Linked DNA regions of Alligator mississippiensis. The protein of the gene in region 1 interacts with the protein of each later gene in a pairwise test. Links are inferred from orthologs where the notes say so. Each region holds a gene or a part of one and is shown in the gene's direction. Other genes may lie near its edges.

Region 1 (15,240 bases):
CTGGGGGCTGGATGTGGCCTGCCAGACCATTCTATCCGGCCCGTGGGGCCCCTAAAAAATTTAGAAAAATAATATTTATCTGCCCTGGGCTGCCTGTCACGCGGCCCTTGATGGCTTGCCAAAACACAGTAAGCATCCCTCTGCCCAAAATAATTGCCTGTCCCTGATCTATATCTATCAAGTTTTTTCATTGCTTCTATCATCAGTGACTCTTAACTGATAAAGGAATATTGTTATCATCATTTACCTAGTATAAACTAGTCTTGGCAGAGACTATTCTGCACCAACTCAGAGGTACAGAGTACCCAGAGTACACCTGGGGCTGACCCTTCCAACCATGTGGAGCAAGGGTGGAGTTCTGCCATCAGTGCCATTCCTCCCTCTGCTGCAGGGCCAACAGCTACAGCTTTAACCCTTTTGCAGCCACTGCCAAATTGATAGTAAGCTGTTCACTGAGCAGCAGGGGGAGGAAAAATGGTGGTGACAGAAGGAGCCTGATGTGTGGTATGTGAATAAAACAGAGCATTATTCAGGCTGAATTTTTCTGTGCCAGGTCTCTCCTCTGGCTGTTCTTGGAAAACTTCATCCAAAGTGGTTCATCCATTTCTAAGAGCAAGTCTAAGGGAAAATATTTTGTTTTGCCTATGTTAGAAACATTTTCTACAATTTTGGTTTTGAAAGCACAACTTGGAATTTGGTAGGTGGATAGCTTTTGTTTCAGGGATATGCCTTTTGTTGTCTGAAAATTTGCCCATATTTCACTAAGTTATAAGCCCATGACAAAAAATCAAAATTCAAAACTTCTCAATAGCAATGTCTTAAATGTTGATACTTTAACTTCCTAAAGGATTCTGTACACATTGGGTATGCTTCAGCCCAAGGCTGAATTATAAAACTGTAGGGTTTGAAGAGACTGCAAGTGTTATCTGGTTGAGCTCTCTGTTCAAATCCAATATTTTCTACTCTGAAACTAGGCTGAGCCCATCTTCGCTTGCAATTGCAGTTCTGGGAATAGCAAAAGTTAGTGGTAAAAGATAGGAGCATACAGAAGATGACAGGCTACTGTTGCTCTCAGCTGCTCCATTAGGTCAAGTGGCAGAGGTCTGTGTATGCAATCTAAAGTTTCCAACTCTGTTGATGAACCAAATGTATTTCTATATGTTGCTATATAATGGAACTTCCAGGTGTTTTTCCAGTTTCATTTTTTTAAAGCTAGGAAATAATGCAGGGAAAACTATGTTAAAAGTACATTACAGTAGAGCACTGGCTTTGCTGTAGTTAAAGTTGAGCAGTATTTTCTCTTTAAAGGTCAGCTCCGTCAAGAATGCTTTTAAATCTGCATTCTTATTTGAACTGCCTTAAGGCACCTTGCTCCTCATGGAAATGGTAAAAAGTATTAGTTTTCCAAATCTGAGGTCATCCAAGTGAGAGATCTGACTAAATGGAATTTTATATAAACAGATGGTGCTTACAATGAAGAATTTCATGGCCAAGACCTTTGGTCTCCAAAGAAAGTGCAGAGGTGCACCAGAGTAATGGTGCTTAGAGTAAAGTAAGGTCTTCTCTCCTGTTTCAGAAAGCAGTTATGCTCTGGGATACCACAATTTGTTTTCTGTGGTAAGCCTCCTGTGATAGAACTATGTTCAGAACAGTCAGGCAGGCACCCTTAACATGCACTTCTGGTTTGAATGCTGAGGGGAAGACCAAAGACTGCATCCTCTAGGTGAGGCCTTAGCATAGACCTGTTTGCAGCAGTGTCAGGCTTTCTGTTCTATGGGAGATCTGTGCCCAGAACAACTAGCTGTCATTTGATTTTGTTGGGACAGGTACATGCCTAACTATATGCCACTCCAAGATAGTAAAATTGGTTAGCAGGCAGCATATGCATGGATCCTGTCACAACCCAATTAAGTAGTGCCCATGTCACAAACAAATAAAACCATTCAAAACAGTTTATTTCTGCGCTAGGTTAACTAAGGGTTAACAATAATGATAGTAACTGCTTTTTTTGCTGCGCATGTCAAAAAAAAATTTATACCTGCGACACCAACATAAAATAGAACTTAGCCTTCTGTGCTGTACATAAATCATTATAATTGGTCGGAATGACAGGGGAGTGTCCCTCTGATAACACCCTAGCGAAGACCGCTAGATAATTGGCGATTCTAATTAAATTTATGACGTGGCAAAAAGCAATTGGCTATTACACAAATAAAACCCGTCTTCACTTCCGTGAAGAATGGGAGACCTCCGCACACACACCTGAAAAACCTCTGAACGTATATATGAGAATAACTGACACATTAATCACTTGTCAGTCTCCCCCGTTTCGACCTAATCAGACGTAAATCAACGACCTGCCGGCCCGACTTTTTTTCTCCATTTATCTGCCCGACTGACAAACTCTTATGCAGACCGACCTATGACCTACGAACCTTAAGCTATAACTAACCAAATATCTCTGACTTCCGCTATTCACCACCTTAACGGTGTGAGTAAATAATCTTGCTTTACAACCGATAAGCGTCCGCCTAATTAATTCCACTCCAAGCGTCACAAGTACCCGCCTGACGGCCTTCTAAGGCCCCGGACCCTTATCTGCCCAGGTGGGAGTCAGGGAGAGCTGCTGGCCAACTGCCCAGGGTCCCGACAGATCCTAGCAGATTGTACAGCCCGCACGGAAGCCCCCTGCATTTTGATTGCTGTTGTGACCTATACTAACCAAATTGAAGCTAATGCAGGTGTGCCTGCATGTACTGAAGTCACACCTTCAGCTGAGGTGTAAACACACTAAGTATATGAGTCGTACACGTTTTATGATGATGAAAGGACTTTCTTAGCTAAAACATATTTAATTACTACCTGTGTCAATGGCTTGCATAATAGCTTATTCAGTATTTTCTAAATTTCTAGCCATAAAATGAATGGTAAGTTCCAGTCCTTGAGAATGATTCACTCTCTTTTTTTCATATTTGGGATTTGGAGTAAATGCAGACTCAGGAAAACAAGAATTGTTTCATTTAAAAATGTGAAAAAAATTATATTTACAATTTTAATTTTTCTTTTTCCTTGTTTCCAGGCTAAGACCCATGTCCTTGATATAGAACAGCGGCTGCAAGGTGTGATTAAGACTCGAAACAGGATAAAAGGATTGCCCTTGTCTATTGAAGGACACGTCCACTACCTCATACAAGAAGCAAGTGATGAGAATCTGCTCTGCCAGATGTACATGGGCTGGGCTCCATACATGTGAAATATTGCTGTTCACAACTGATACTGATTTTTTTTTTTTTTTTTTAAACAAACTGTTGAATTGATTTAATCACGCTATTTTTTTACCTTTGTTGAATACTGACTTGGAACATAGGTTTATGCTAAAACTTAATGTGAAGTCTAAGGAATTATATATATATGTTTGTTGTAGTATGTGAGGTGTGTATTCTGTATACATAGAAATGCATCTGTTGCATGGTATACGTTTGAACATGTATACAAATTTGTATTACATAGGGACATACATTTTGTTTTATGTATACAGAGTACAACACTCTTTCACTATTAAATAGAAAGTACAGTTGTCCTTGTGATGTATGTGCCTTTTATATATACTCAGAATGTGCAAAGATACAACCTATTATGTTATTGAAGTAAATTATATTTTATAAAATATTACACATTTTCAGAGAATTTTCTTTTCCCTATTTCAAGGAGATAAGTGTGACCATACGAATGCCCATACATCCTAGTATAAAATGAACTGCATTACAGTATGAGTGTAGTAGTAGACCTGTGAACTGCAGTTGTGTCTATAAGAGGGGCTTTCCAAATCTAAAAAAATGTTTTCAAAATATTCATTTTCGGGTTTTAACAAAGCTTTCCTGTGGTCAGTAAAGCATGTTAAGTGACTGCATCAGATCACCTGTTTGATCTGTCTGTTGGTGGGGTAATCTGGATGTAGAGGGATAAATACATATCCCTACCTCAGTGCAGAGAATCTGCCAGAATATTAACACAGCATACAAAAATAGGTCTGGAGAAATCCTCAAAATAATCTAATGCAAACCTTGTCTAACCTGCACTTGAATTTCCATCACAAGAAGTTTCTCACAGCCTCTAGTTAACCTGTGCCGGTGCTTCTTCCTAATACACTAACTGATATCTTCTTCGTTGAAATTTAAGCCCATGCTATATATATAACACGGGCAACTGGTGCCTCACGAGTCTGGGGGGGCACCAGCAGGGCACAACTGGTGTGGGGGTGTCCCCCAGCAGACAGTTGCTGAGCACGCCAGCAGCATGGCAGTGGCGGAAGTGCTGCCAGCAGAGCCAATTTCAGGGGGGCACTAACACTCTCTGTGCCCCCCTACCAGCCGGAGCGCTCGCTGTCAGGCGGGGCACCAGTGCTGTCAGGGAGGCATGTGCCCTCCCATGCCCCCCCTACGTGTCGCCTATGATATATAGTGCACAACTTTTGTCATTATTATCCTGACAAACTAGACTAGAGGCCTCTTTAAATTGAGAAGACCTTAAAATGGATGCTGAAGTAGAGTAAGGAGAAGCTTGAGAGAGTCCAGAGGAGAGCCATGCAAATGAATAGAGGACAAGAGAGCAGGCCTTATGAGGAGAGGCTGAGAGACATGGAACTCTTCAGTCTGGAAAAATGTAGGCTCAGGGGTGACTTGGTGGCAGCCTATAAGGGGTGTGCACCCCATGGGAAGACTAGGTCCAACAGTCACAAACTCTTGGAAGACTTTTAGTCTGGACATAAGGAACAACTTCTTTACTGTCTGAGTCCCCAGGGCCTGGAAGAGACTCCTCCCAGAGGTGGTGTAAGCACCTACTCTGGATTCCTTTAAGAAACACTTGGATGCCTATCTTGCTGGGATCTGCCTGTCCTTTGGGCAGGGGGCTGGACCCAATGATCTTGTGAGGTCCCTTCCAGTCCTAATGTCTATGAAATCTGTAAGTATGTCTTGTGAATCCTTCAGCTTTCCCAAATATGATTCCAGAAATTCTAATATTATAAAAGTTGTAGTCTATCTGTCTGTCCATAACACTTTATTCGCACTCTGATTGGCTGACGGAAACAACCAATCAGTGCAAATACAGCGTTCAGACAGGTGGTGGCAGAGCACTGCCATGATGGGGGGACACGGGACCTCACCCCCCCCCCCATGCCCTGCTCCCTGGAGTTGGTGACAGCAGTGCAGGTGGAATGGCAGGTCTGCTCCCCCCTCCCTCCCTCCCTCCCTGCTTGCTCCTTGGAGGTGGTGGTGTTGGGGGGAACAGGCTCGGGATGCTGCAAGGGGAGTGAGGCCAGCCCCCACCGCTCTACTCCCTGCTGGCAGTGAATATGGAAGCTGGCTGCTGGCCTCCCTCTCTATCCTACGCTGCTCCATCCTGACATGGGTGGGGAGGAGCAAGTCTAGAGGCCAGGGAGAAGCAGGTTTGCCACAGTGGTGGTGGGGGGGGGGGGGGGACAGCAGACCCAGGCTGATGCAGGGGGCTGGGAGGAGCGGGTCTGGCCCTGAAATGGCAGCAGGAGGTTGGGGGGCACACCAGGCCTGGCTCGGCCCTGAAAGTGGCAGGGAAGGTGGGCGAGCAGGCCCAGTGCCAGCCCCACAACAGCAGCAGGGAGGGTGGAGGGACAGGCTGGGCCCAGCCTGGCCCTGAAATGGAGGGTATGGGGGGGGGGTGCAAGTGGCAGGAGGGTGGGGAGAGGGTTGGACCCGGCTCCACAAAGGTGGCAGGGAGGGTGGTGGGCACCAGGCTCGGCCCTTCGTGGGCGTGGGGGAAAGGGGGAGCAGGTCTGGCCCCGAAAGTGCGGGATGGAGCTGGAGGCAGGCCTCTGTCCTCACCTGCAGCCCCCGCCTGCCATTCTTGATGGGCAATTGACTAGTATTTAATATGTTTTTAAATTGAATGCTAGGTGTTCTACGGATACCATGGATGTGTCGTTGTCCAGTAGGGCACATAAGACCTGTTAGACTATGAACAACTGCTGCCTCCTGAGACTCGGGGGGGGGGGGGGGGGGCGCAGTTTGTGGGCAGTGGGGTGGGTGAGCAGTGACCACCTGCAGAAGGTGGCAGTGGCCATCTCGGGGAGGGGCGGGGGGCGCACGGGCCCGCGTCCCCGTCCCCCTCCCCCATGTCGCCTATGCGTTAGACGGACCTGTACCTAACTCCACTGAACTGAAAACGTTATCGAGGTTCTTGGGGCGGCCAAAAAAGTTGCAAATTTAAGATTTGGACTTGCACTTAGAAGTGCGCACACTCTTCCTGGCTGCTTCCTCGAAATACCCATGCTGCCATCTCTCCTCTCCTTTCTCTGGCCTCTTTCTATGCTCGAAGCCCCTCCCGCCTCCGGTCTTTCTGCACTACACCGCCGCGCTCGCGCTCGGGTGGTGGGGGGCGGAGGCCGCCTTCCTCAGCCCGGCGCCTTCCGTGCGCCAACGCTACGGCTGGAGCGGGTGTCACGGCGGGGCTCGGGCCTCGCACGGCCTCTGGCCCGCCACAGCTCCAGCGTCACCGCTGCAATGCAGCGCAGGGCTCCCCCCGTCTGTCCCCGTCCTCGGCCTCCCCTTGTCTGGACGGGGACCGGGCACCTCCGCAGCGTCCGGCTCGAGCCGGGCCTGCGCCCCCCAGGCCACAGGGGGCGCCCGAGCCCCGCCAGGCGGCCGCTCCGCCCGCGCGCGTGTGTGTGGCGCAGGGCCCCTGCGCCCGGCGCGGCCCGGCCCGGCCCGGCTGTCAGCGCGGCGCGCCGGAAGGGGCCGAGGGCGGCCTGACGGACGGAAGCCCGCGGCGGCGGCCATGGGGGTGCCCAAGTTCTACCGGTGGATCTCGGAGCGGTACCCGTGCCTCAGCCAGGTGCTCAAGGAGCATCAGGTGAGCGTGGCGCGGGCCGCCTCCTGCCCGGGCACAACAGGTGGCTCCGAGCCCGGCGGCGCCAGGGGGAGCGGGCGGGGAGGCTGGAGCCGGAGCCCGGGCAAGCAGCAGAAGTGCGTGCGGGGCCCGAGGAGCCCAGCCCGGCCCGGCAGAGCCGCGAGGTTTCGTTGCTGGTCTCTGAAGGGACTCGGGGGGTCCCTGGCGGGGGCAGGCGGAGACGGGGGAAGGCTGCACGGGGTGGACCCAGGTGACTGCTCCCTGCCCCGGGCAGCTGCCAACTGCTTCTCGGCTCCTGGCTGTCCGCCCTCCTCCCCCTCAAGCAGGGACTGCCTCCTCGCACCTGGCCCGGGTTGGGCACCAGCCCTTGTTTTATCTGCAATTCGCCCGAGTCTGGAGCTGCTTCCTTCCCAGGCCGGGGGAAGGGCGCTGCTGCTCAGAGCTCATCTAGCATCTCTCCCAGTTTAGTTCCCGTGCCAGGGTTGCCCGCACCTTGTGGAAAGACCTGGTCCCCGGCAAGCTGTTGCTCTGCTCTGCCATCTCTCCCAACTATGTGGTTGGTCCAAGAAAAGATATTACCAGAAATGTGCTCCTTGCTTCTCTGTTTTTAAACAAGGCGCAGTAACTTGTAAGGGGGAGGATGGATGGGGGGGAGGTTTGCACCAGGTAAATTTGAAAGAGCCCTTTGAGACACTGTGGCCAGGTTGCTTGGGTGTAAACAGACAGACCTGACTGAGAGTTTCAGACATACTGGGGACTGACCAGACTCCACCCCCAGTCAGGTGATTAGATAAGGGCAACCTGAAAGCCTATGGTTTGACAGGTATTATACTTCTTTTAAATCATTATACAGTTGAAAATTAATATACTTCTTTTAAATCATTACACAGTTGAAAAGGTTGGAAATTACTGTTTTCATCTGAATTCAACATGACTTTGAATTTAAAATGACCTCCCAATAATTAGATTTTATACATGGGAAGTCATAAACTTGTTATCGTTTTCTGTGGATAGCATCTAATTATTTATTGGAGGATCGGCTTAAATTTGGGTTGTTGTCCCTCTCCCCCTTCCCCCCACTGTGTTAGGGGACAGGTGGCCTGACTCGCACCTTGCCTTGCTTACCACCCCACCGCTTGTACCTTCTGGTGCAGGGACGGGCAGTTATTTTGGGTGAGGACCGCTTACTGAGTTTTGGCAAGCCATCGAGGGCCACATGATAAGCAGCCATGAGCAGATAAATATTAATTTTCTGAATTTTTTAGGGGCCCCGCGGGCCAGATAGAATGGCTTGGTGAGCTGCATCCGGTCCCCAGGCTGCATTTTGCCCATCCCTGTTCAGGTGCCTGTCTCCCTGCCAGTAGCCCCCCACTACTTTCTCTTGTCATGTATCCTGCTGCCACCTGCCCCTCTTCCCCCAGCCACTTGCCTCCCTCACTGCCTGCTCTTCTTCCCCCTGGAGCCAGAGCTGGAGTAGCCACCCAAGACAAGGTTTTCTGGGGGGAGGAAAAACCTCCCTTGGATTTGAGTAAATATGGTCTACCCCTGGTGGATGGAGGGAATGTCTGTACTGTGTCCAGCATCTGAAACTGTCAGAATTGTTTTGGAACCCATTTACTTATTTGGCTCACAGCTCAGCTGGAAAGCTAACAAGTTTAGTTTTTGTTTGTGTTTCACTTTCTGCAAATGCTTTCACTTTCTTCTTAAGTGCCAAATAGATGTTGCATAGTTTTGGTTACAGATGCAGCACACACATTTTATAATTGTTTTCTTTGAGTTTATGCAAACATTTAATACTTTTGTATTTAAGTCCTTTCATTTTTTCTTCTGTGCAGTAAAATTTACTTTTAACCCTTTAACATACTTCTGACTGTGTATTTTTATTCAGCAAAAAATTATCTTTGGCCAAACAGAATAGCATCAGCATATATAAGAAATATATTTTCTAATTCAGTAAATGTCTGTTAGACTTCAATCTCAGAATCTAATGGGAACCGGGCTCCACAAAGTATTACGGTCAAGGTGAATGTCATTGTAACGGAGAAGTGTGGGTTTTGCAACCTCATGTCATCCCCTCGTCCCTTGCACATGAGTCAATTTGTTTTAGTAGCTGAGAAAATAATGCAGAATAAAGGAAAAATGAAACCATAAATTTTCTCCCCTGATCCAGAGATCAGCAACATACAGCCTGCAGGCCAGAGCCAGACAGCAGAGCCACTGAATGTGTACTGTGGAGCTGGAGGTTTTTGCCTGTTCCCATATCAGGGGTGGGTAGCAAGAAGTTGCACTGGGGCCAGGCAGCTTCCAGCAGTGCCTGCACTGCTGCTGCTTTTCCTTGCCCGTCTAGCTCTGTTATGACACAGGTGAGTGATTTCAGTGCTGCATTAGCACAGGGGGATTTTCCTGCACCCGTGCTGGAGCCAGGTAGCTAGGAGGATGGGCAGAAGTAGTAGCCAGGTAAAAGTGGCAGCCAGGCAGTTGAGAGTTGTGCCTTTGCCACCAGTGCTTCTCCCAGTTCTCTGCTGCTGACTTGCCACTGAAGTCACTGAGCTTGCGCTGGGTCAGAGCCAGGTTGTTCTGACCTGGAGCTTATAAAAGGTTGCTGGCCCCTATCCAAATCAGTAGGACAGAAAAAGCATACTTTTCAGAATAACTGGAATTGAGAGGAAGAAACGGGAGCATAACATAGTTTGTTGTTGCTTTTCTTTTTTTAAATAGTACCATACTTTAAAAAGGAGAGCGAGGGGGATAGGTTGCAACAAGACTCTCCTAGTGTAGGACACAGCTATGCAGGCTAAAAAAAATTTTGGTTGTTTTTTTTTCCAAGTATAGCTTATTTGAATTCAGCAAACAAAACAAAACTATGCCAACAAAAGCACTTTTGTCAGTAAAACTCCATATACACTTGAGCTTCTGAGGACATTGTTTTGTGTAAAAAAAAAAAAAAAAAAAGCCCTAAATGACCTACCTGTGTTGAGAGAACTTTTAAGTGTAGACCTGGTCTTATTTTAGTTTGGCTTAAGTTATTGATTTGTTACAAATTTAAATGAAATTGAAATTAGAACTTAGAGAGGACTACTGGACTACTAATTCAGTTTCTACTGAATTAACTAAAACAGTGCAAGTTTATACACAAGGCTATTTGCTATGGTTCAATAAATTTTAGTAATTAAGCTCCTCCCTATTGAATATGTAATTCTCAAAATAGTTTCTCACATACTTTATTTAGCAAGCCAGTGCAGAAAGAAAGAAATATGCTTCTCAAAATGATTACTCAGCTTAGTCTGAGTCCTTTACTTGAAAGGATATCTTAAAATATTTTTATTAATGTTAGATGTTTTTTTCCACAAGTAGAAATACAAGTAGATAACTTTTAAAAAAAATTCTATTTTAAGAACTGTCCTGACATAGCATAAAATGTGGCCGTTATTTTCTAAATGGCAAAGGAAGTTCTACATGAGCAAAACTTGATTTAGCAAGGAGCAGCAAAGGTTTTTATTGAATGCCCAAAGCCTTCACCTAGCACAGTTATGCCTATTGCCCTTCCTGTATCTGGAAAGTGGCTAAATTTATATCCATAAAAACCAGAAAGTACAATATAACCTTCATTCTGCATCCTGGAACTGGTAAGGGTCACTGGGAATTGTTCAGGAATGGGGAATGTCACAATAAGTAGTCTTAAAAATAATGGTATATTCTTTTAGATCATGGGCCAGAGTTTTGAATCCCACTGTTTATATCCATGTACTTTCAGTGCCTTCATTGTATTAGGTGTAGCTATAAGGAGTGATGAAGAGGTTAGTTGGAGCAATTTAGCAAAGCTGTTGCAGTACTATAACAGGAGGTACACATATAATATGAAGGATCAAGGATACCTCATTTCAGTAGTGATTTTGTGGATTATTTCCACAGAAGTGGACAAAGGTGTCTTTTTGTGACAGACATTTTCAGCAGGCTCATGGCAGTGGCCTCCAGGGTATTGAGTGGGAAGGAATTGTCTCAGAAAGCATCCACAGGCCAGTGTTCCCAAACTTTTGATACCTGGGGCACACTTTTTTTCTGGATTAAAATTGGTGGCACACTTTACTCTTATACCCAAAAAGGAGGGAGGGTGTGTGTGGGGGGGGGTGCATGCGTGTGCGTGTGTTCGTTCGTTATAAAACATATTTTGTTCCCCTGCCAGAGGAAATTGTACCTGTGCTGAGATATAATGCTAAAAAATAATCTTTATACCAGTAGTTCTCAACCTTTTTTGGCTTCAAGTTACCCTTCCATAACTTTTCTGAATTTTGCAGCACCCTAGTTGAAAATCACCGAGACCGTTCTAAACTTTTAAAAGATATGGTGGGGGGGGGGGGGGGGGACCTTGGGCTTAAAGAAGGTGAGAATCATCGATCTAACTGGTGCCACTTAAGGGCAGTGATAGCAGGACCTAACCCTGCTGTGCCACTCTCTTCCACTGTCTGCCCTTTCCTGACCCCTGGTCTGTACCTTAGGGAGCAAGAGCAGTTCTCGCTGCTGAGGCTGCTTCTGCAGGGTCTCGCATACCTGGGACCAGAAATGGAGTTGGTGTCGCCTGTTATGAGAGAATGAAGTGAAGCGCAGGAAGGCAGTTGGGCAGATGAGCTAGCTGGATACAAAGTCTAAATTGTGACATTTGAAACCATGTCAGATTTGCAGTGGTTCTTTTGCCTCTGTCAGAGTAGGACCAAACATGACACAGTTGTAAAAACAATTTGCAGTTTTTTAAGTTGGAGCTTCCCAACTCTACTTTGTTTCAACTGTTCACATGCCTGTATTGAGATTTAGTACAATTGCAGCAATAACTCTGAGCTGTGTAAACTGCTCCTTTCCTCAGTTTGTGTTCCTATTTCCACCAGAGGTGGCAATTATCCCCACTCATGTAAGGGGGAAGAGAAGCAGAGAGATGAGGCAGCTTGCTGTGATCCTGATTGTCACACAGGAGGAGGAGAAATCCTTAGTTCTCACACTGTTCTCCACCTACCTGTCCCCACTTTCCCCTTATCTTTTTTCCCTTCCTGTGTTCCCCTTTCCTTCACTGTACCTCCAGATCCAACCTACACATGCCCCCCTGCACTGCTTGAATATGCCTTAAGTAACCCTTCAGTTTGCCATTATCCTCCATTCCTTCACTCTGCACCAAACAAAAGGTTATGAAACAGCTTATGTCATAAGGCTGTGTATTGGAACTCCCTTGAACACATGACTCAGTACCTTGTTTTTCTGTTGATCATGCCAGGAGATATGATTTTGCTGTCCTTTCATCTTCCCTCTATTTGCATGTGGATTTTAGAGCACTTCAAAATATTGTTTGTTGTAAGAGTTTTGATAGTGGGGCAAAACTTCGAACATATGCAGAGGCTGCCAATAGTGTGGAATTCATCAGTGCACCGATTCACTGATCACTGTGTATCAGACTGTCAGAAAACTCTGTCCATTAATATAAAGTTACTTTTGCTTGTGTTCAGTCTATTTAGCTCTGTAGTTAGCACAAACTGACATTTAGGGCTAGACTAATTTCAGTGCTGCTTCTCTGAAGCAGGGGGCAACTGGCTTCAGTTAAAGTAAATGCAAGCCGTAGTTCAGTGATGATGGGAGACATTTTTAGCCATGGATTTGCATGGAATGGGATAAGAACCAAAGTGCTGTTAGTTTAGGTAGACTCTATCTTAATCTTTTGCTCAAATGACTCCAGATTTGTGCCTTTAATGCTGTACCTTCTGTACCTTTAACCCTGTGCATAGTAGATTCTCATGTTATTTAGAATACTTGCTTTTAAACAGAAAACACTGCTCAACCTTGACTGTAGCAGAACTACAGCTTGTCTATAATTAGTCTTTTTTGTGTGCTGGACTATACCGTAAGCACTTTGAAACAGGAAGGTGAAATGCATGTTGTTAGAGAAAGTGTCAGTTGAGATCTAGATCAGTGGTCTCAACTTTTTTTGACTTGAGATTCCCCTTAGAAAATGCCACCTGATAGTTTTCACATGTTTCTCGTCTACAGAAAATAACAGCAGAGTTCTCTTGTTGCAAAGAACTCAAAAAGACCACAACATGTCAAAATGGTTTCGACACTATAGACTCCTGTTTGAAATGTCTAGGTTTATTTTGTAAATTGTGTATAGGTGTGTGCATATCTAGTATTGCACGGCACCTTATGATACCTTTAAAAGGATCTCATGGCACAGTGGTTGGGAATCACTGATCTAGAACTTACATTGGACCTAATAGTGTTGAAAATGCATACTTTCTTGTCTCTGTGCTAGACTTCTAGAACAGTGTTAGAGTGTACTAAGTAAAACATGCCAAAGCATACTTTTTAGATTCTAGCTTCAACAGGACCTTGAAAGTGTGCTGTTAAAAGGCATTAACTAACCTTTTCTGTGTGAAAGTGAGGAACTGTTGATACTAGGTTAAAAAACATTATTTTTTATTTTAAAAAATCTTGAATTTTTTCATTAAATAATTCTTGAACTTGGAAAGTTCATTAGTCCTGTGTATAGTAACTATTTTTCACAATTCATATGTAAGAATTCTATTAGAATAAAAATATTAAAATAATGTAAAATGCTTGTCAAAATAATCAAATACTAAACAAGAAACATTTTTGGGAGTTACAGATTGCTTGTGGGTTACAAATTGTTCTTGGTTCTGTTTCTTGTCACAGGAAAAAATAGAGGAGAAAGGGGGTCTTTTAGGTAAAATGTGCATAATTTGAAACAGTACTATAACATGACTCTTCATGTGAAAAAAAAAAAAAAATGTCATTTGCTTGCCTTCCATCTGAATGGGGAAAGTAGATTGCTGTTGAGTCCTTATAGCAACACACCATCCTCTTGATATTGAAAACTTGGTGTATGTGTGAATGAGAGATGGTTTGGGCATGCTATTTATTCACATGCCATGAGATGGCATACTTTATTGAAAAGGCTAAATACTATTACAAGAGGAATGCAAAAATAGTTACAGGGTGCCATGTGCATCAGCAGTATTTTATTATACCGAACAACAACATATACAACAAAATACTAGATTTATTAAATCCCAGTCCTGAATCTATTTCTTTCTCTCTTCCATGCTTCCCATATCTGAAATTATGCATTATAGATACAAGCCTATGTACCTTTAGAAATTATTTCAACAACGTGGGAGGAACAACAGTTCAGGAACTACACTACTACAGGAGGATTTTTGTTTAAAGGAATACTAGTAGATCAAGCAGGATTATGCAGAGAATGGGTATAGATTGCCTTACAAACTGTTCTTGAGTATGTATGCTATCTTTTGAACAAAATACAATGGTATTAACGTTACTTGGTCTGAACAGTTAGCCAGTCATCAGGGCCTTGGTGATTTGTTTGTAGGAGTCAAGTATTTCTTTGGTGCAGTCTTTCTTTATTCACAAGGAGTTAAACCATTCTGTTTCTCTGAACAGGATAGGAACAAATGCCAGGTAGTTTTCTTCCTCAGGATTTTCAAATCTTCATTTTCCAGCAAGTCCTAGTCCCCGAAGAACTCAGTCTCAGCTCTCTCTGAGTTGCACCCTTCATGGTGTCATTGCTATCTGCTAATTTTTCTAGTTGGTTCTTCATTCTGGCACAAAAATACACAAACCTGCAGTCAGTCAATGTCTCAGCCATTTTTTTAAAATATTCCCCAGTAAACTCTTTTCCCTGGTTGCTCAGTCCATGTTTAGGCTCTGCTATTTTGGCCTATACCGTGGGCTTCCATTTTTACCCAATAAAAGGGCATTTCATTGTTCCATTTATTATGAATCAGGGATGCTAGAACCCCATCAGTTTCATTAGGTCTGTGCCTAATGGCCACAATCTGTCTTTCAGCATAACAATACTAAATAAGACTTCTTGTTCTTAGATTCCAGAATTTGACAACTTGTACCTGGACATGAATGGTATCATCCATCAGTGTTCACACCCTAATGATGATGATGTTCACTTCAGAATTTCAGATGATAAGATCTTTGCTGATATTTTTCACTACTTGGAAGTATTATTTCGTATTATTAAGCCAAGAAAGGTTTTCTTTATGGCAGTTGATGGAGTGGCTCCAAGAGCAAAAATGAACCAGCAGCGTGGGAGACGTTTTAGGTAAAATCATTTTATTCTTTTCTTGTCAAAATATTTGTCATGGTTTAGTTTTTTGTTCTTCAAGTTGAAATAGGTGTAAAATATGTAGTTTTAAGATATCCTTCTTTATAAATTAACATTAGTTTTTAAATAAATAATGGTAAGTACCATTTTAGGATCAGTCTTTAAAATTACTATTGAGGGGGGTTTATGTTTAGCACATTAGAATATTTTGTGAACATCTGCAA
Region 2 (15,886 bases), on another chromosome or scaffold:
ACGCGGGGTTGTGTCTGCATATGTATATGCGCGTGTATGCACATATACAAATACGTACGTATGTATGTATGTAGTGTGTGTACGTGTGTATGTACATATATGTATGCATACATATGTATGTGTATATGCATACAGAGCCACCTACCTATATGCAGATGTGCCTATACACATAGAACCCCCTATATACAGACACCCACACATATATAGACACACAGAGATGCCCCCTGTACGTAGACACGTGCACACATTTGTATATAGCCCCCCACCCCATATGCAGACCTTGTATATTTTGTACCGCCCCACTGTACGGGCACCCCATACAGGGGGTACCCCTGGCTTCAGCCCTCCCGAGCTAGGCTCCAGGAGGTGCTGGCACTCTCGGACCCAGGCAGTGGGTTGGGGGCATCCAAAGGGGGGGGGCGCAGTTTCAGGGGTGAGCAGGGCCCTGTAGCTTCTGCCCCCCCTTGGGCTGGACCAGACTGGACTGAACTGGGAAAGCAGTGAGGCCCATTATACACTGCCGGGCGCCAGGGGTCACCCCACCTCCACCAGTCCAGACACCTGGATTCCTCCCTGGCCCCCCAGGCGAGGAGTACTGTTGTACAGCCCCTGTCTTAGGCGGCACCCTGACAATTTGGGGAGTAGGGGAGAGCCTGAACACCTGGGATCCATCCTGCCCCGCCGCAGTTTCCTGGTTCTCCCTTAGGCTAGGCCCTGCGGGCTGGGGGGGGTGCTTCTGTCCCCTGCTGGGGGGGTGGTCTTTATGCTGGCCGCCTGCAGCAAAGGGCTGGGCGGAGGGGACTGTAGTGCCAGCCAGGAGGAGGCGAGTTCAAATCCCACCTGGGCTGGGGCCAAGGGAACATCCAGTTCTCCGGGTGGTTGCATCACCGCAGAATTTCTGCCACTTCCTGCCCCGGCTGGGCCCGTTTCCACGCCAGGGAAACCACCCCGGGCAGGCGGGGACTGGGGAGGAGGGAGGCTTGACCCCCTGCCCAGCCAGGAACAGCCTGTTCCCAGCTGCTTTGTTCCCCCCCCAGCCCAAAGCTCTTGGAAAAAGGGGGTGTCTGCCAAGTGACGGCAGCAGGGAACAATGCTCCCCCCCCACACACACACACGCAAGAAGGGCCCGATTCTGGGTGGATCTGCATGCAGGGCGGGGTCCTTGTATGGGGGGAAGAGACCACGGTTTGGCCCTCATTGGGGTGTAAATCTGGAGGGCTCAAGCCACGCTCCAGGCCTGCAAGAGTGGGGAAACTGAGGCACGCGGGGAGAGGGGCCCAGCAGGGAAATGGGACCCAGGTGTCCGGGTGCTGATTCCCACCCCCAGCTGCGGATGGGACCCGGGCTCCTGCCCTCCCCCCCCCCCCCCCGTTCCCACAGTTGGAAACCGAACCCAGGCGTCCTGACTCAGCCCCTGCGCTCTAACCACTGGACTCGCTGACCTTCCTGGCGCCGCGTCAAGAGCCCAGGGCCTGACTCAGCCCCTGCCCTGGAACCGCTGGATCAGCCTTCTGGGAGCTGGGGAGGAAACCCAGTGAGTGTCCAGGGGGCTGTAGTGAGTACATGTGGGCAGTCGTAAGTGCCCGGGGGGCAGTTGTGAGCTCATGGGGGCAGTGGTGAGTGCACAGGGGCTGTGCTGAGTGCAAAAGGGGCAGTAGTAGGTGCATGAAGGGCAATAGTGAGCACCCAGGGGGGCAATAGTGAGTGCATGGGAGCAGTGGTGAGTGCTCAGCGGGTAGTAGTGAGTGCATGAGGCCTGTGCTGGGTGCACGGGGGGCTGTGCTGAGTGCACAAGGGGTAGTAGTGAGTGCGCAGGGGCAGTTGTGAGCACGTGGGGGGGAGGCAGTGACGGCTGTTTGCAAACAGGAGCCAGGCCACGGCGGCTCCCCGTGGGCCGCTGACCTCATTTCCTGCCTCTATTCTGGGCGGCGGGCGGGGGGCACGGCAGGGGACAGCCTGTTCCCTGCTGCAAGCCGGGGCTTTCTGGGGCTGCTGGAGGCCATTTCCCCCCCGTGCCCCCCCCACCCCGGGGGCAACAAGGGGCAAGGAAGGGGCTGATCCCCCCCAGGTGGAACAGGCAGCCCCCTCGCAGGAGATCCCAGCCCCCCCATGCGAAGGGCTGTAACTGTGATGGGGGTCGGGGATTGTGGGCGTTTGCACACGTGTGCGAGCGTGGGGTGCAGGCCCCTTGGAACGGGTCGGGGCCCGGGAGCCCGCGCGCCTGGGGGCCCTGTTCCTGCTCTGGGAGCAGAGTGTCCTCGAGTCCCCTCTGGGCACCAGCGGTCGGGCCTGACTCACCCCGCCACTTCCCCGCCGCTGCCTCGGTTTCCCCACCTGCCCCTGGCCCCGGTCCAGGTTTCCTGGCACAAACACGCCGGCATTGCCAGGGCAACGGCTCGTGTTGTCCTGGCACCGGGTGCGAGAGCGCAAAGGCCTGTGTCAGCATTGCCGGGGCTGGCGCTGCGCCTGTGCCCACGTCACCGGGCCCGGGACTTGCCCAGCGAGCGGGCTGGAGGGGAACCCGGGCCCCCGGGAGCCCTCCCATCCCCACCCACCAGGGCAGGGACCCCCAACCCCCTCCCGTTAGCACCGTCAAGGCGGAGACCCGGGTGCCCGGACCCCCCATCCCCACCCACCGGGGCAGGGACCCCCAACCCCCTCCCGTTAGCACCGTCAAGGCGGAGACCCGGGTGCCCGGACCCCCCATCCCCACCCACCAGGGCAGGGACCCCCAACCCCCTCCCGTTAGCACCGTCAAGGCGGAGACCCGGGTGCCCAGACCCCCCATCCCCACCCACCGGGGCAGGGACCCCCAACCCCCTCCCGTTAGCACCGTCAAGGCGGAGACCCGGGTGCCCGGACCCCCCATCCCCACCCACCAGGGCAGGGACCCCCAACCCCCTCCCGTTAGCACCGTCAAGGCGGAGACCCGGGTGCCCGGACCCCCCATCCCCACCCACCAGGGCAGGGACCCCCAACCCCCTCCCGTTAGCACCGTCAAGGCGGAGACCCGGGCGCCTGGACCCCCCATCCCCACCCCACTACAACGGGGAACCCGGGCGCTCGGGCCCCTCAGTCCCCTCCGGGCTGGCCCCTTCCTCCCCCAGTGTTTACAAGCAAGCGCCACCACGTGAACCACACGCGTGTGCGCACGTCATGGCTGGCGCAGCAGGGGGCAGGGCCAGCACACCCCTGCTCCCTGTGACCCCATTAACTCTCCCTGTGCCCCCCCGTCCCCTAGCGGGCTTCACATGCCACTTCCCGTGCGAGAGCGCTCGCACGCCCGGCTGGCGTCACAGGGGTTTTCACGCCCATGGAACGGGGCTTTCAACAGCCTGGAAAAGCAGAACCAAGCGGGCAAGGCGCCGAAGGGCTAGGGGCAGGGTGGGCACCGGGAACTCACTGGTGCCCCCTCAGGCAGCGCCACTGGCAGGGCCCCGTGCCCACCTCAGTCACAAGCGTGTGCAAGCCCCCAGGCTGTGTGCGTAGGCCTGAAGCAGGTGCTCCCTGCCCCCCATGTGCTGAGCAAGTGTGTCCTGCGTGTGCGCACGCAGCAGGTGCCCGCCACATGCTAAGCATGTGTGTGCTGCACGATGTGTGTGCACACAGCGGGGGGCCTCCTGTTGTGCTAAGTGTGTGTCCTGAGTGACACACGTGCACACAGTGGTGCTCCCTGCCATGTGCTAAACACACTTGTCCTGCATGACACTTGGGCACCCACACTTCTCCCCCAATGTGCTATGCACGTGTCCTGCATGACACGTGTGCATACTGGTTGCATGATTCAAATGTGTATGAATCAACATGCATGTGCACACGGCCTGTGCTACAGCGTGTGCATGCACTCCCTCGCCTGTGTGCAGGCCCCCAGGCATGTGCACGCCCCATCATTTTGCCCCATGCCCATGCACACGTGCTCACACAGGCGCTCACCTCTGTGCACATGCTCTTCTGTACACACGCCTGTCACATGTATCACATGCAACTGCCCCCTCTCCACATGCATGCACAAGGCAAACCTGGGACACATTGATGTCCACATTTGTGCGTGCACATGCACGCACACACATGTGATGCGCCTCCCTAGCACAGGCATGCATGTGTGCTCACTAGAGACACACGGAAGATACGCTCACAACACTCACACACACGTGCACAATGGAGGCAGGCGGAGGCTTGTGTGAGGGGCCCTGCTCTTTGCCTGTGGATCTGTGAAAAGCCTCGCACGAAAGGCCCTGTCTACCTCTGGGTCTGTGCAACTCCTCTCACAAGGGGCTTCAATCCCTGCCCTTGGAATCAGTGCAAGCCCTCGCACGAGGGCCCTCAATCCCTGCCCTTGGAGTGAGTGCAGGTCCTCGCACAAAGGGCCCCAACCTCTGCCCTGGATCTGTGCAAAGCCTCGTACGAGGCCTCCCGGTGCTGGCCCCCGAGGCCAGGGGCTGTGGCGGGGAGCGGGGGCGCGGGCCGGCTGCCTCTCGATGCACCAGCGCTGGGGACATTCCCGCTGCCCAGGCTGGGAGCAGGGGAATTCCCAGCTCCGGCTCCGGAGCTGCCTGGAGCAGGAAGCCGGAGCCGCGCCTGGTTCCTGGAAGAGGAAGGGCCCCCCACCTCTCCCGGGGGCTTCCCAGAATTCACTGCTGTGCCAGGACTTGAGAGGCCTGACAGCGTGTGTGCAGCTCCTGGCACCTGAGCAAAGGGCTGGGCTGTGGTTGTGCAGTTCCTGCCACTCATGTAAGGCACTGGGTTTGTGTGGGTGCAGGTCCTGGCACATGTGCAGGGGACTGGATTGTGCATGTGCAGCTCCTGCCATGCGTGCAAGAGGCTGTGCTCTGCGTGTGCAGCTCCTGGCACTTGTGCAGAGGGCTTGGTTGTGCACGTGCAGCTCCTGGCACTCGTGTGAGGGGCTGTGTGCGTGCAGCTCCTGGCACTCTCCTCCACTCACTAGTGCCCCTCGTGTGAAGGGCCCTGCTCTGTGCCCCAGGCCCCAACTCACTGGTGCAGCTATTGTGTGAGATGCACACCCCCTTGGGCTGCATGGCAGGAGCCCAGTCGTGCGAGTGCTGGGCCCTGGGCAGCGTGTGCTCACGAGCATTGTCCCACGGATCCGGCCGAGGGGAGAGGAGACCAGCGGCCTCTGCCCTTTGCCTCCGTCTCCAAACACTCGTGGCCCCGTTGTACAACGTGGCCCTGCGCTGGGTTCGGGGTCCGGAGGTCACAGTGCCTTTCCCAGCACTAGTGCAAAGGGCAGAGCCATGCGTGCGGCTCTGGACACTCATGCAAGAGGCAGAGCTGCGGGGTCGTGCATGTGCACGAGCCTTTCCGGTGACTAGCGCAAGGGGCAGAGCTGCACGCCCACGAGCGTGTACAGCGCCAGACACCCCTGCACAGGGCAGCGTGTGGCTCCTGGTGCTCGTGCCAGAAGCAGAGCTGTCTGCCCACGTGGCTCCAGATCCTCGTGCGAGGGGCAGAGCAGCGGGGCTGCGGCTGTGCACGCCCGTCCAGCCACTAGTGCAAGGGGCAGAGCCGCACACCTAGAAGCGCGCGCAGCTCCCAACACTTGTGCAACAGGCCCTGCCTCAGTTTCCCCCGGGAGCCAGGGCAGCCGGGCTCTCGGTACCGTAGTGCACCTAAGCCCCGCGCCGCCCAGCTCCTGGCTCCGCCCCATGAGCTCATTGTTTGCCAGCTCACCTGGCCCCGGCGCGGCTTAACCCCTTCCTGCCCGGGCCCGGCCTCGTCCCCGTCCCCGGGCCGGGCCGGGCAGCGCGGGCGAGTGGTTAGAGCAGGGGAGCCGGACTCCCTGCTGGGAAATGCCCCGTCGGCGGGGGGGGAGGGGACTGGGGGGGGATGAGTCACGGGGGCGGGGCTCATTGTGTAACCCGGGACCGGCGGGGGGGCGGGGCCTTCCCTGATTGCGTCACCGCATTCCCAGCACAGGCGGCGGCTCGGGGTCGGGGTCGGGGTCAGGGTCGCGGGGGGAGCCCAGGTGTCCGGCAGTCCCAAGCCTTTCCCTGCCCGACTTGCCCCCCCGCCCCCCCGACCTCACTGGTTTGGGGGGGGCACCCGGCTATTTATAGCCACTGGCGCTGACTCAGCCCCCCCGTCTCCCCACGCCCCCGTCCTAGATCCCGATCCCGATCCCGGCTCTTGTGAAACGTCGTGATTCACCCGGGCAAAGGGGGGCAGGCCGGTGCCCCCTCCCCCCGGTCACAGCTGGATGCGGGTGCACAGCTGGCGGCAGATGCGGGGGCTGGGCCCGGGCCAGGGGCTTCCCGGGGCGGGCGGGCGGGGCCGGGCTCGGGCTCGTGCTCGTGCCCGCGCCCGTGATTCACTTCCAGGAACCGGGACCTGACTCAGAGGCGAAGAGAAACTGGGAGCACCGGGAGAGGCTGTCCCAGGGAGCTCGGGTGCCCTGTGCCCTCGTGCGAGACACGCTCGCGCTCGCACGGGGGCTGTGTGCGGGCACAAGCAGCAGTGCGGGGCGGGGGGCAGGCAGCTGTTCCCCCTGCGCCCCCCCGCACCAAACCCCAGGTACCCCGAGTGACCCCCTCGTGCAACGCACGAGGAAGCAGCGCCTTGCACGGCCGTGCGAGGGACAAGCGGGCCCCCCCACCCCTGGCTTGATGATGGCACAGTTGTGAGCTCCCCCCGCGCAGGGGGGGGAGACCCCGGGGACTACAGACCCCCCTGTCCCGCCTCCCCGCGCGGAGCCCAGGAGTCGTGGGGAGCCTCCGGCCTGCTTCGTCCAGCCCCGAGCGCGGCACGGGGCACCGCTGAGGCTGGGAGCTCCTGGGAGTGGGGGCAGGAGCCTCGCACGTGGGGCAGGAGGCAGCTTGCACGGGGCCTGGTTGGGGGTCTTGCACGGGGTTTGGAGGGGCCTTGCACGAGAGCAGGCAGGGCCCTGGCCTGGTGGTTTGTGCAAGCCAGGGGAGCCCCGGGGCCCCGGTAGTTCCGGGAACGGGCACTGAGTCACCCCCCTAGCCACACGTACGGGCTCCGGCGGCCTCGCACGGGGTGGGGGGGCACGAGGCAGGGAGATGCAGGCTGAGGCCTGGTGCAAACTCATCGCACCCCCGCCCGGCCGGTACCTGAGGGGGAGGGGCAGGGCTGCACGTATTGCCAGGGGTGTGTGTGTGTGTGTGTGTGTGTGTGTGTGTGTGTGTGTTGTGCCCAGCCAAGGGACCATGGGGTGGGCAGGGGACACAGCCCCTCATCAAGGACCTTGCACAAGTGTGTGCGACCCTAGAGGGGTGTGGGAACTTGCCCCCACCCCAGTCCAGCCCTTGTCTGGGGCTGTTGCTGCCCCACCCCAATCCTGATCCAGGCCCCCCTTTCTCTCTTACCCCCCCGTTGCCCCCTCCCCAGGGCTCCCCAGACCCTGGGCCCAATCCTGATCCAGACCCCCCCTTCCCCCCGTGCTGCCCCATCCCCCGGGGCTCCTGTGGCCCTGATCCTGGCCCCCCTTTCTCTCCACCCCCTTCCCCCTCAGCCCAGACCCTGGGCCCAATCCTGATCCAGGCCCCCCCTTTCTCCCTCCCCCCCACGCCCAGCCCTTCCCTTCCCTTCCCTTCCCTTCCCTTCCCCAGGTTTTACCCTATTCTCTGGTGGCTTGCTTTTTTTTCAGGGCCTCTTACAACAGCGATGAGGTCATCGCTGAGGGGGCGGGGCTTCAGCCTATATAGCCCCAGCCCCAAGTGCTGACCCCAGCTTCTGCCTGCTCCTCTCTGGGGGTCCCACTGACAGCGCAGCCCCCAGCCCCCACGGCCACGCCATGAGCTCCCTCCTGGATGTCAAGGCCCTGTGCGAGGTGAGGGGCTGGGGCCGGGGCCCGGCCGGGCTGGGTGGGGCCGATCCTTGTCTTTGCCCCTCCGGGGGATCCCCAAAAGGGGTAAATCTTTGCTGTTACCCCCAGATTGGGCATTTCTTTGCTATTCCCACCCCCCCAGCTCTGCTGCATGGAGGCGACGGGGCTGGCGGGGGGTAGAGCAGATCTAGGGACGGGGCAGAGGGGTAGGCTTGTTTGTGGGGGGGGCAGGTTGTTGTAATTGCCCCTCTATGGTTTTTGGGGGAGGATATTTCTCTGTCTGGAGGGGCTGAGAGTGGTGCGGGCAGGGCTGAGCCCCAGGTCCGGACCCCTCCTTTCCCCCCCAAGGCCTTTACTCCCCCCCCCCCCCCACAGGCTGCCTGGACTCTGCCCCAGCCTGGGTCGGGCAAGGGGATCTTCCTGCCCCAGGCAGGGGGTGATTGGGGTCGGGGAAGGGGGCTCTTCCTGTCCCGAGCTGGAAAGGAAAGTTGGTGTAGGCTGGTGGGGGTGGCATGTATGTGTTTGTGTACTTGTGTGTGTCCCAGATGCCTGGGTTCTGTGTGTGTGTGTGTGTACTTGTGTGTGTGTCCTGGATGCTTGGGATGTGTGTGCATGAGAGAGAGATCTGAACACTTGGGTTCTGTGTGTCTGTGCATTGCCCCTGGATGCTGGGGCGCGTGTGTGTGTGCGCGCGCGTGTGTCCTGGATGTCTGTGGCGGCAGAAAGCAGGTAGAGACGAACCTTTAAAACGAAGTAAATCAGAGATACAGAAGCTGCGTGTGCGCGTGCGCGTGTCTTTGGTGTCGTGTTTGTGCTGGTCTCTGCGTCGTGGGTGTTTCCATGTCATGTATGCACCCCTGTCTCTGGCGTGTGTCTTTCTTGTGTTTGCGTCCATCTCTATGTTGTGCGTCTCTGGCGTGTCAGGTGTGTCTTGTGTGCCTTCCGTGTCACATCTGTGTCTAGTGTGTCTTTTGTGTTACATTTGTGTGTGCGTGTCTCTGGGGTGTGTCTCTTGTGTCCCCCTTCTGTCCCCATCTCTGATGTGTGTGTTTCTGGTGTGTCAGGCACGCACCTGTGCCTGTGTGTGTGTGTCCGTGTCAGTCAGGTGTCTGTGTGTTGTGCTGTGGCTGTGCGTGTTTGTGGTGCTGTTGCTGCCCCCCCACCCCCCCACACACGCTTCCTGCTCTGGGCTATCGCAGCTGATTTTCCCCCCCGCCCCCAGCCTAAGAGGGGCCAAGACTCGGCCGAGGCCTCGTCATGGCTCTTCCCTCCTCCCCGGGGCCCGGCCGGAAGCCGGGCCCAGCTCCAGCCTCCGCTCGGCGGCTTGGAAATAACCCGCCCGGACGCCTGGGTCCTTGCCCCCGGCCCTGGGGTTGGTGGGGGGGGCCGATGCCGCAGTCCCTGCAGGGTTTGGGGTAGTGGGGGCAGTGCTAGAAGCTGCATAGGTGAGGGGGGCACCAGGCCCTGCTGGGGGGCTGGGGCCAAGCCGACTCCTCGCTGACCCCTTCCCTCCCTTCGCCCCCCAGAGCCTGCACAGCGCCTGCCTGTCGGACGACGACGAGGCCCCGCGACGCCGCCCGTCCTCCTGCTCCGGCCCGGCGGAGCCGGCCTGGCCCCCGCGCAGCCCCTGGAGCCCCGTGCCCGCCCGGGGGGGCCCCGGTGCCAGCTTCCGAGCTGACCGCTCCATCAGCCTGCCCCCGCCGCCGCCCGGCTTCGCCCCGCTGCGGCCCCCGGCCTCCCCGCCGCCGCCGGCCCCGTCGTCGCGCTACAAGACGGAGCTGTGCCGCACCTTCCGCGAGACCGGGCGCTGCAAGTACGGGGCCAAGTGCCAGTTCGCCCACGGGCCGGGGGAGCTGCGGGCCCTGGCGCGGCACCCCAAGTACAAGACCGAGCTGTGCCACAAGTTCTACCGCCTGGGCCAGTGCCCCTACGGCGCCCGCTGCAACTTCATCCACCACCTGGACGAGGAGCGGAGCTGGTCCGGCAGCTCCCCCCCAGCGCTGCCCCCGCTGCGCCAGAGCCTGAGCTACTCCGGGACCCCGCAGCGCCGCCCCTCGCCCCCGCCCGGCCTGCCCGACCCGGCCGGCTTCGCCCGCGCGCCCTCGCCCGTGTGCCGCGGGGCCACGCTGGGGGAGACCCCGCTGGGCAGCGGGGGCTGCCTCTGCTCCTGCCTGGGCCACGCGGCGCCGTTCTCCTGGGACTCGCTGGTGTCGAACCCGCCGCCCGAGCTGCTGGCGCTGCTGCCCCGGGCGCCCTCGTCCACCTCGCTCTCGGACCGCGACGGCGACAGCAGCGGCTCCGAGTCGCCCGTCTTCGAGCCGCCTGCCACGTGCGGGGCCGGCGCCCGGCGCCTGCCCATCTTCAACCGCCTCTCGGTGTCCGAGTGAGCCCCCGCCCCCCCCAGCTGTGGATCCAGATGTTGCACGGGGCATGGGGGGCAAAACCTAGTGCCCCCCAGCTCCCCATGTGCCCGGGGACCAGATCCCCCCTATCCCCATCCTCATGAGCTCACCAGTGCCTTGGCGGAAGGAGGCGGGGCAGGGGCCACGGCCACTCCTTATTGGGTGCTCTTACTTTTGGGGGGCTGGCTTCCCCCCGGACACACCCACTCCTATGGAAGTGCCTTGTTGATGCCACCTTTTGGCCTTGGAGAGGGGGACTTCCCCCACACCCCGCCCAGTGCGTGGGGGTCCCGATCCTGCCAGGGGCTGGATTGTAGCTGGTATGTAGCATTTTTGGGGAGACCCCATTGGAGAGGGGGGTCTCCCGTGTTTTCCCCCCTGCCCCTTTTGTGCCACCCCTTGCCCATCACCTGCTGTGAATCTCCCAGGCAGGGCCTGGCGGAGCCTGGGTCGGTACCGTATCTTCTCACCTACAACGCGCACCTTCCTCCCCCCCCCCCCCCCAAAATCAGCTTCCAGCATTGGGGGACACTGGGGGTTCCCCCTGCCCCCCCCCCACCATGGCAGCAGGGACTGAATGGAGGTGTGTGTTATACATGAAGGGCGCGTCGTAGGCCAGGAAATACGGCTGCATTGAACGTGCTTGAAGGATGAGACCTGGAGCCCTTGGTGGGGGTCTTGGCCCTGGGATCAGCCCTTGTGTCCCGAGATAATGTCGTTCTGGGCAAAACCCAGGGGTCCAGTCCGGTTATCCCGCCCCCCCCACCCCTCCCCAGGGTACCTGGTATCCTCCAGGAGGGGCCTGGAAAGGACCAGGCCTGGCGGGGTTTGTGCACCTCTGAGCCCGGTCACAGCCGCCACCCTCCCTGCCGTCGCAGCAGGGGTTTGTGTATGTGGGGGGGTATCTCAATAGCCGCCCCCGCGCCCCCTTCCCTGAAACACTGGAGCCCGTCGGAGGGGGAAATCGCGAGCCCAGCGCGTAATCATGAGGTCTCTGAATCAAGATCCCTCGGGGATTTTTCAAGGCCCTGCCTCTTTGGGGGTCTCCCCCCAGAAAAGGGGGGCTTTGAAATGTGCCTTAACCCCACAGATCTGAACTCGGACCCCCTCCCCGTCCCCGACTCACTTGGGGCAAGCTCAGCCGCCCCCGTACCGAAACCTGCCCCCTCCCACGCGTCCGTTTTTTAAATCCAAGCCTCTCACCGGGCAGGAGGAACAAGAACCCCCCCCCTCCCCGACCTATTTATAGCCCCTTATTTATTTCAGACAGAATTTTATATGCTATTTATCTCTCGGGGGCTTCATTTGTTGTTTTGTAATTTACCAAAATAATATATATATATGACTCGACAGTCTATTTTCTGTGTTAAAAGTGCTAGGAGCTGTCGCGCGAGAAATATAATGTTTACAACCCACAAGAACCTGGTGTCTGCGGGATTTATTATGCGGGGGGGGGACGTCTCTCGACGTGTCTGTCTGTCCCTACACACGTGTCTCTACCTCTGTCTCTCTCTTGCTGCCTGGTGTCTGTCTGTATCTCGCTCTCTCTCTCACATAGGTGTATCTGTCTGTCTGTCTCTCTATCTGTATATATCTATATGTATGTGTACGTGTGTGTATATACATATACGTGTGTATGTATGCATATATAATTTGGGCTCAGCCGGGGCCCAGGGGCCGAGCCGAGCTGGGCGGGGCTGGGGGTGGTCTGGGGGGTCGAGGAGCAGACGCCGTGCTCGCTAGGGCCCCTGTGCATTGGAGGATCCCTGGGGAGGAGGGGTGGATGGGGGCGAATCGGGTGTCTCAAGCCCAGAGGAGGTGTGTAGGCCCCCTGGGAAGAGCTGCAGGTGGAGGCCTGAGGCGCGGGGCGTTCCACTGCTCCGTGGGCCGCGCCCCAGCCTCAGCCGCACCAAGGCCCCAACCACGTCATGCTGACGCCACTGGGGTGCGGCGGGCACAGACGGCCCCACGCCCTGCCTGGGAACCGGCCTGGCTGGTCCTGAAACCGGGTGGGGGGGGTGTCTAGGTTCTGGCCGTGAACACACACATGCACACCTGGAACCCAGGTATGCGGGACACGGGCACGCACACAACCCGGGTGTCCAGGACACACACACACGTGTGCATGGAGCCCAGGGCTGGGGAGGCCCAGCCTTGCGCGTTGTCCGGGGGCGTGTGCGGGGGCCTGGGCCCGAGCCCCCTGAACGAACGCAGCCCCTGCATCCTCCTGCCTGCCCTCCCCAGGCCTCCTGGCCCCCCCTCGCGCATGTGGCGCCCACCCCCCGGTTCTACCCGCTGCCCCGAACCCGGGCGTCCGGCGCGGCGCATGTTCATCTCCTGCCCAAACTTTCCGGGGCTGGAAAAAGTGATGTCATCCTCGTGCGAGGCCCCGAGCAGGGACATCCGGTGCCCCCCAGCCTCCCCCCCACAGAAACCCCAGGTGTCTGGAACATGCAGCCCCCCCCCCCCCTCCGCCCCCACAGGCCTCGAGCTTCCCCTTTCAATGGAAAGGAGAAGAGGCCCCTTCGTTTCCCAGGGTCTGGGTGTGTGTGTGCACGCTCATCCTGAACACAGGGCTTGTGTGTGTGTGTGTGTATACATGACCTGGATACTTGGGGGGGGGGGGGCCATGTGTGTCCCCTCGTATCCCCAAAGATGGGTCCTGAGGTCACATACATGTTCGCGTGGGGGGAGGCTGGGACCTGCCCCGCCCGGGTGTGCGAAGGCAGCTGTGGGCGCTTGTGAGCTCATGCCTGTGCCTGTGGGGGCGACAGGGCCTGTAAGCTGCCAGCCCCCCCACCCCACCCCGTCCCCTTCCTCTTCTTTCTTCCTCTTCCTCCCCCGGCCCGGCCCGGCCGCCAGCCTTAAAAGGCAGCGAGCTGGACCCGTGCGCTGACGTGAGCACGAGGGGGCGGGTCTTGCCCAAGGGGGTCTTGCACAAGGATGGGGCCTCCTACGAGGGGCTCGCGCGGATGGGGCCCATCTGTCTGCTCACTTCCCCTGCCCCCCCCCCCCCGCACCGGGCTGGCAATCAGGACACCTGCGTTCCTCAAGCACCTTGTGCCTCAGTTTACCCTTGGGGAGGGCAGGGAGCGGTCTCCCTAGCAACCCCAGTCTGGGCTCCTCTGGCCAATTCAGGGCCCCAGGGCCAAGGGTCAGAGGTTAATTCCTCTTCTGTCTGGGCTGGGGGACGTTCGCCAGCTAGGGGATGCGCCCAGCTCTGGGGTGGAGCAGGGGGTCTGAGTATAACAGGGCTCTGTGCTGCGATGTGCCCAGCTCTGGGGTGGAGCAGGGCAGCTGAGTACAACACGGCCTGGCGTTCGCAGCCCCGAGCCGCCTTGGCCCCGTGCGGCGCTGCACCCAGCTCTGGGGTGGAGCCGGTAGCGTCACGGCACAGAGAAGTAGGACAGGAAGTGGGGGCGGCTTCTGGGTCCCAGGCCCAGTGACACCGCCCGTGCGAGGCCTCGCACGAGTCGCACGATGAGTCACGAGGGAAGCGCCGGGGTCACGGAGGACAGCGGCAGCCCTGGGGGGAGGGGGGGATGGAAGCCAGCGTGGGGAAGGAGTGAGCACAGGGCTGGAGTGGGGAAACTGAGGCACGGCATAGCTCCCGCTCTAACCACTGGGCCGCCCTGCCCCTCCCCAGAGCTGGGGGCAGGAGCCCAGGAGGCTGGCCCCCCCTCTGCCGCTTTTAACCCCTTCCAGCCCAGAGGTGCTGAGATGGGGATGGGACACCATTGCCCGGTGCTGGGTCTCCAGCCTTAAAACCTCAGCTCAGAGCACCCCCAATGTCACCGCCATTAGCCCCTTCCTCCCCTGCCCCCTTCTCGGCCTGGGAGGGGGGCGTACAGCACCGGGCACCCCCAATCCCACTCCCCTCCCTGCTAGGGTACAGCAGGGCTTGCAACCCCCTGAGCAGGCCAAAGCCTCGTTAGCGCTAATCGCTTCCCAGGCCCAAAGCGCCCAGGCTCCCTTGGGGCCGACTGAGTCAGTGCTAACCACTGCCCCAGGCTGTCGTGGCCCCGTGAGAAACCCACAGGCCTCGGGGGGGGGGGGGGGGGGGCAGGGGCGGTGTTGTTATTTGCTGCTGCCTGCTCCTCCACCCAGCCCAGACTCAGTCGCATTTCCAGACCCAACTTCCTGGGACGGGGAAATGGGTCCAGGGGAGGGCAAGAAAGACCTCAGAAACCCCCTGATGGCCACCCTGCTCCCCCCACTGTGGGGGTGGGGGGGCTGCATCCCTGATGGCTGGGTGGCCTAGCGGTTATCTTAGGGCTGGGGGAAACCTGGCGGTGAGCTGAGCTGGGTGCACCCCACCCCACCCCACCCCTCTGGGGCCTGGGCCTGCCTCAGTTTCCCCCAGCCCAAGGGAAGGAGGCGGCGGTGGGGACGAGTGGCCAGGACTTCTGGGCTCTTCAGCTCCCAGCTCCACCAGGCGGGGGTGGGGGCGGGGGTGGGGGGCAGCCTTCTGTATGTGTCCCCTGTTTGGAGAAGGGGATCATGCTATGTTGGGGGCTGGACAGGGCCTGGTGCCCACCCCCATCCTGGCCTGGGGGGTCTGTGCAGCCCCAAGCACCCCAATTCTGGCCTGGGGGGGGGTTGTACAGCCCCGAGCACCCCCGATCCTGGCCTGAGGGGGAGGGTTGTACAGCCCCAAGCACTCCCAATCCTGGCCTGGGGGGGGAGTTGTACAGCCCCGAGCACCCCCGATCCTGGCCGGGCGGGGGGGGGGGGGGGGGGTTTGTACAGCCCCAAGCACTCCTAATCCTGGCCTGGGGAGGGTTATACAGCCCCGAGCACCCCGATTCTGGCCTGGGGGGGTTTGTACAGCCCCGAGCACCCCGATTCTGGCCTGGGGGGGGTTGTACAGCCCCGAGCACCCCCGATCCTGGCCGGGGGGGGGGTTGTACAGCCCCGAGCACCCCCGATCCTGGCCTGAGGGGGGGGGGGGGGTTGTACAGCCCCAAGCACTCCCGATCCTGGCCTGGGGGGGGTTGTACAGCCCCAAGCACCCCCGATCCCAGCCTAGGGGGGGTTGTACAGCCCCAAGCAGCCCCGATCCTGGCCTGGGGGGGGGCCGTACAGCTCCAAGCACCCCCGATCCTGGCCTGGGGGGGGTCCGTACAGCTCCAGGCACCCCCGATTCTGGCCTGGGGGGGTTTGTACAGCCCCGAGCACCCCGATTCTGGCCTGGGGGGGGTTGTACAGCCCCGAGCACCCCCGATCCTGGCCAGGGGGGGGGTTGTACAGCCCCGAGCACCCCCGATCCTGGCCTGAGGGGGGGGGGGGGGTTGTACAGCCCCAAGCACTCCCGATCCTGGCCTGGGGGGGGTTGTACAGCCCCAAGCACCCCCGATCCCAGCCTAGGGGGGGTTGTACAGCCCCAAGCAGCCCCGATCCTGGCCTGGGGGGGGGGCCGTACAGCTCCAAGCACCCCCGATCCTGGCCTGGGGGGGGTCCGTACAGCTCCAGGCACCCCCGATCCTGGCCTGGGGGAGGTGTTGTACAGCCCCAAGCACCCCCGATCCTGGCCTGGGGGGCGTTGTACAGCCCCAAGCACCCCCGATCCTGGCCTGGGGGGGGTTGTACAGCCCCGAGCACCCCCGATCCTGGCCTGGGGGGGGTTGTACAGCCCCACGCACCCCCGATCCTGGCCTGGGGGAGGGGTTGTACAGCCCCAAGC

What was found.
Region 2: the proteins of XRN1 (region 1) and ZFP36 interact in a two-hybrid assay, tested with the Homo sapiens proteins (2 studies listed by BioGRID). The link is inferred for Alligator mississippiensis from reciprocal best matches to the Homo sapiens genes XRN1 and ZFP36.

The regions. Positions count from the first base shown.
Region 1 is NC_081830.1:56,408,711-56,423,950, reverse strand, and holds the start of XRN1 (5'-3' exoribonuclease 1), read left to right. Parts: upstream 1-6,715; 5' UTR 6,716-6,810; coding exon 6,811-6,885; intron 6,886-14,780; coding exon 14,781-15,013; intron 15,014-15,240. Other genes in the region: serine/threonine-protein kinase ATR, read left to right, coding at 3,080-3,253. UniProt on the Homo sapiens protein: Major 5'-3' exoribonuclease involved in mRNA decay. Required for the 5'-3'-processing of the G4 tetraplex-containing DNA and RNA substrates. The kinetic of hydrolysis is faster for G4 RNA tetraplex than for G4 DNA tetraplex and monomeric RNA tetraplex.
Region 2 is NC_081838.1:1,298,970-1,314,855, forward strand, and holds ZFP36 (mRNA decay activator protein ZFP36), read left to right. Parts: upstream 1-6,300; 5' UTR 6,301-6,528; intron 6,529-7,500; exon of another isoform or gene 7,501-7,621; 5' UTR 7,622-7,768; coding exon 7,769-7,804; intron 7,805-9,327; coding exon 9,328-10,188; 3' UTR 10,189-11,624; downstream 11,625-15,886. UniProt on the Homo sapiens protein: Zinc-finger RNA-binding protein that destabilizes several cytoplasmic AU-rich element (ARE)-containing mRNA transcripts by promoting their poly(A) tail removal or deadenylation, and hence provide a mechanism for attenuating protein synthesis.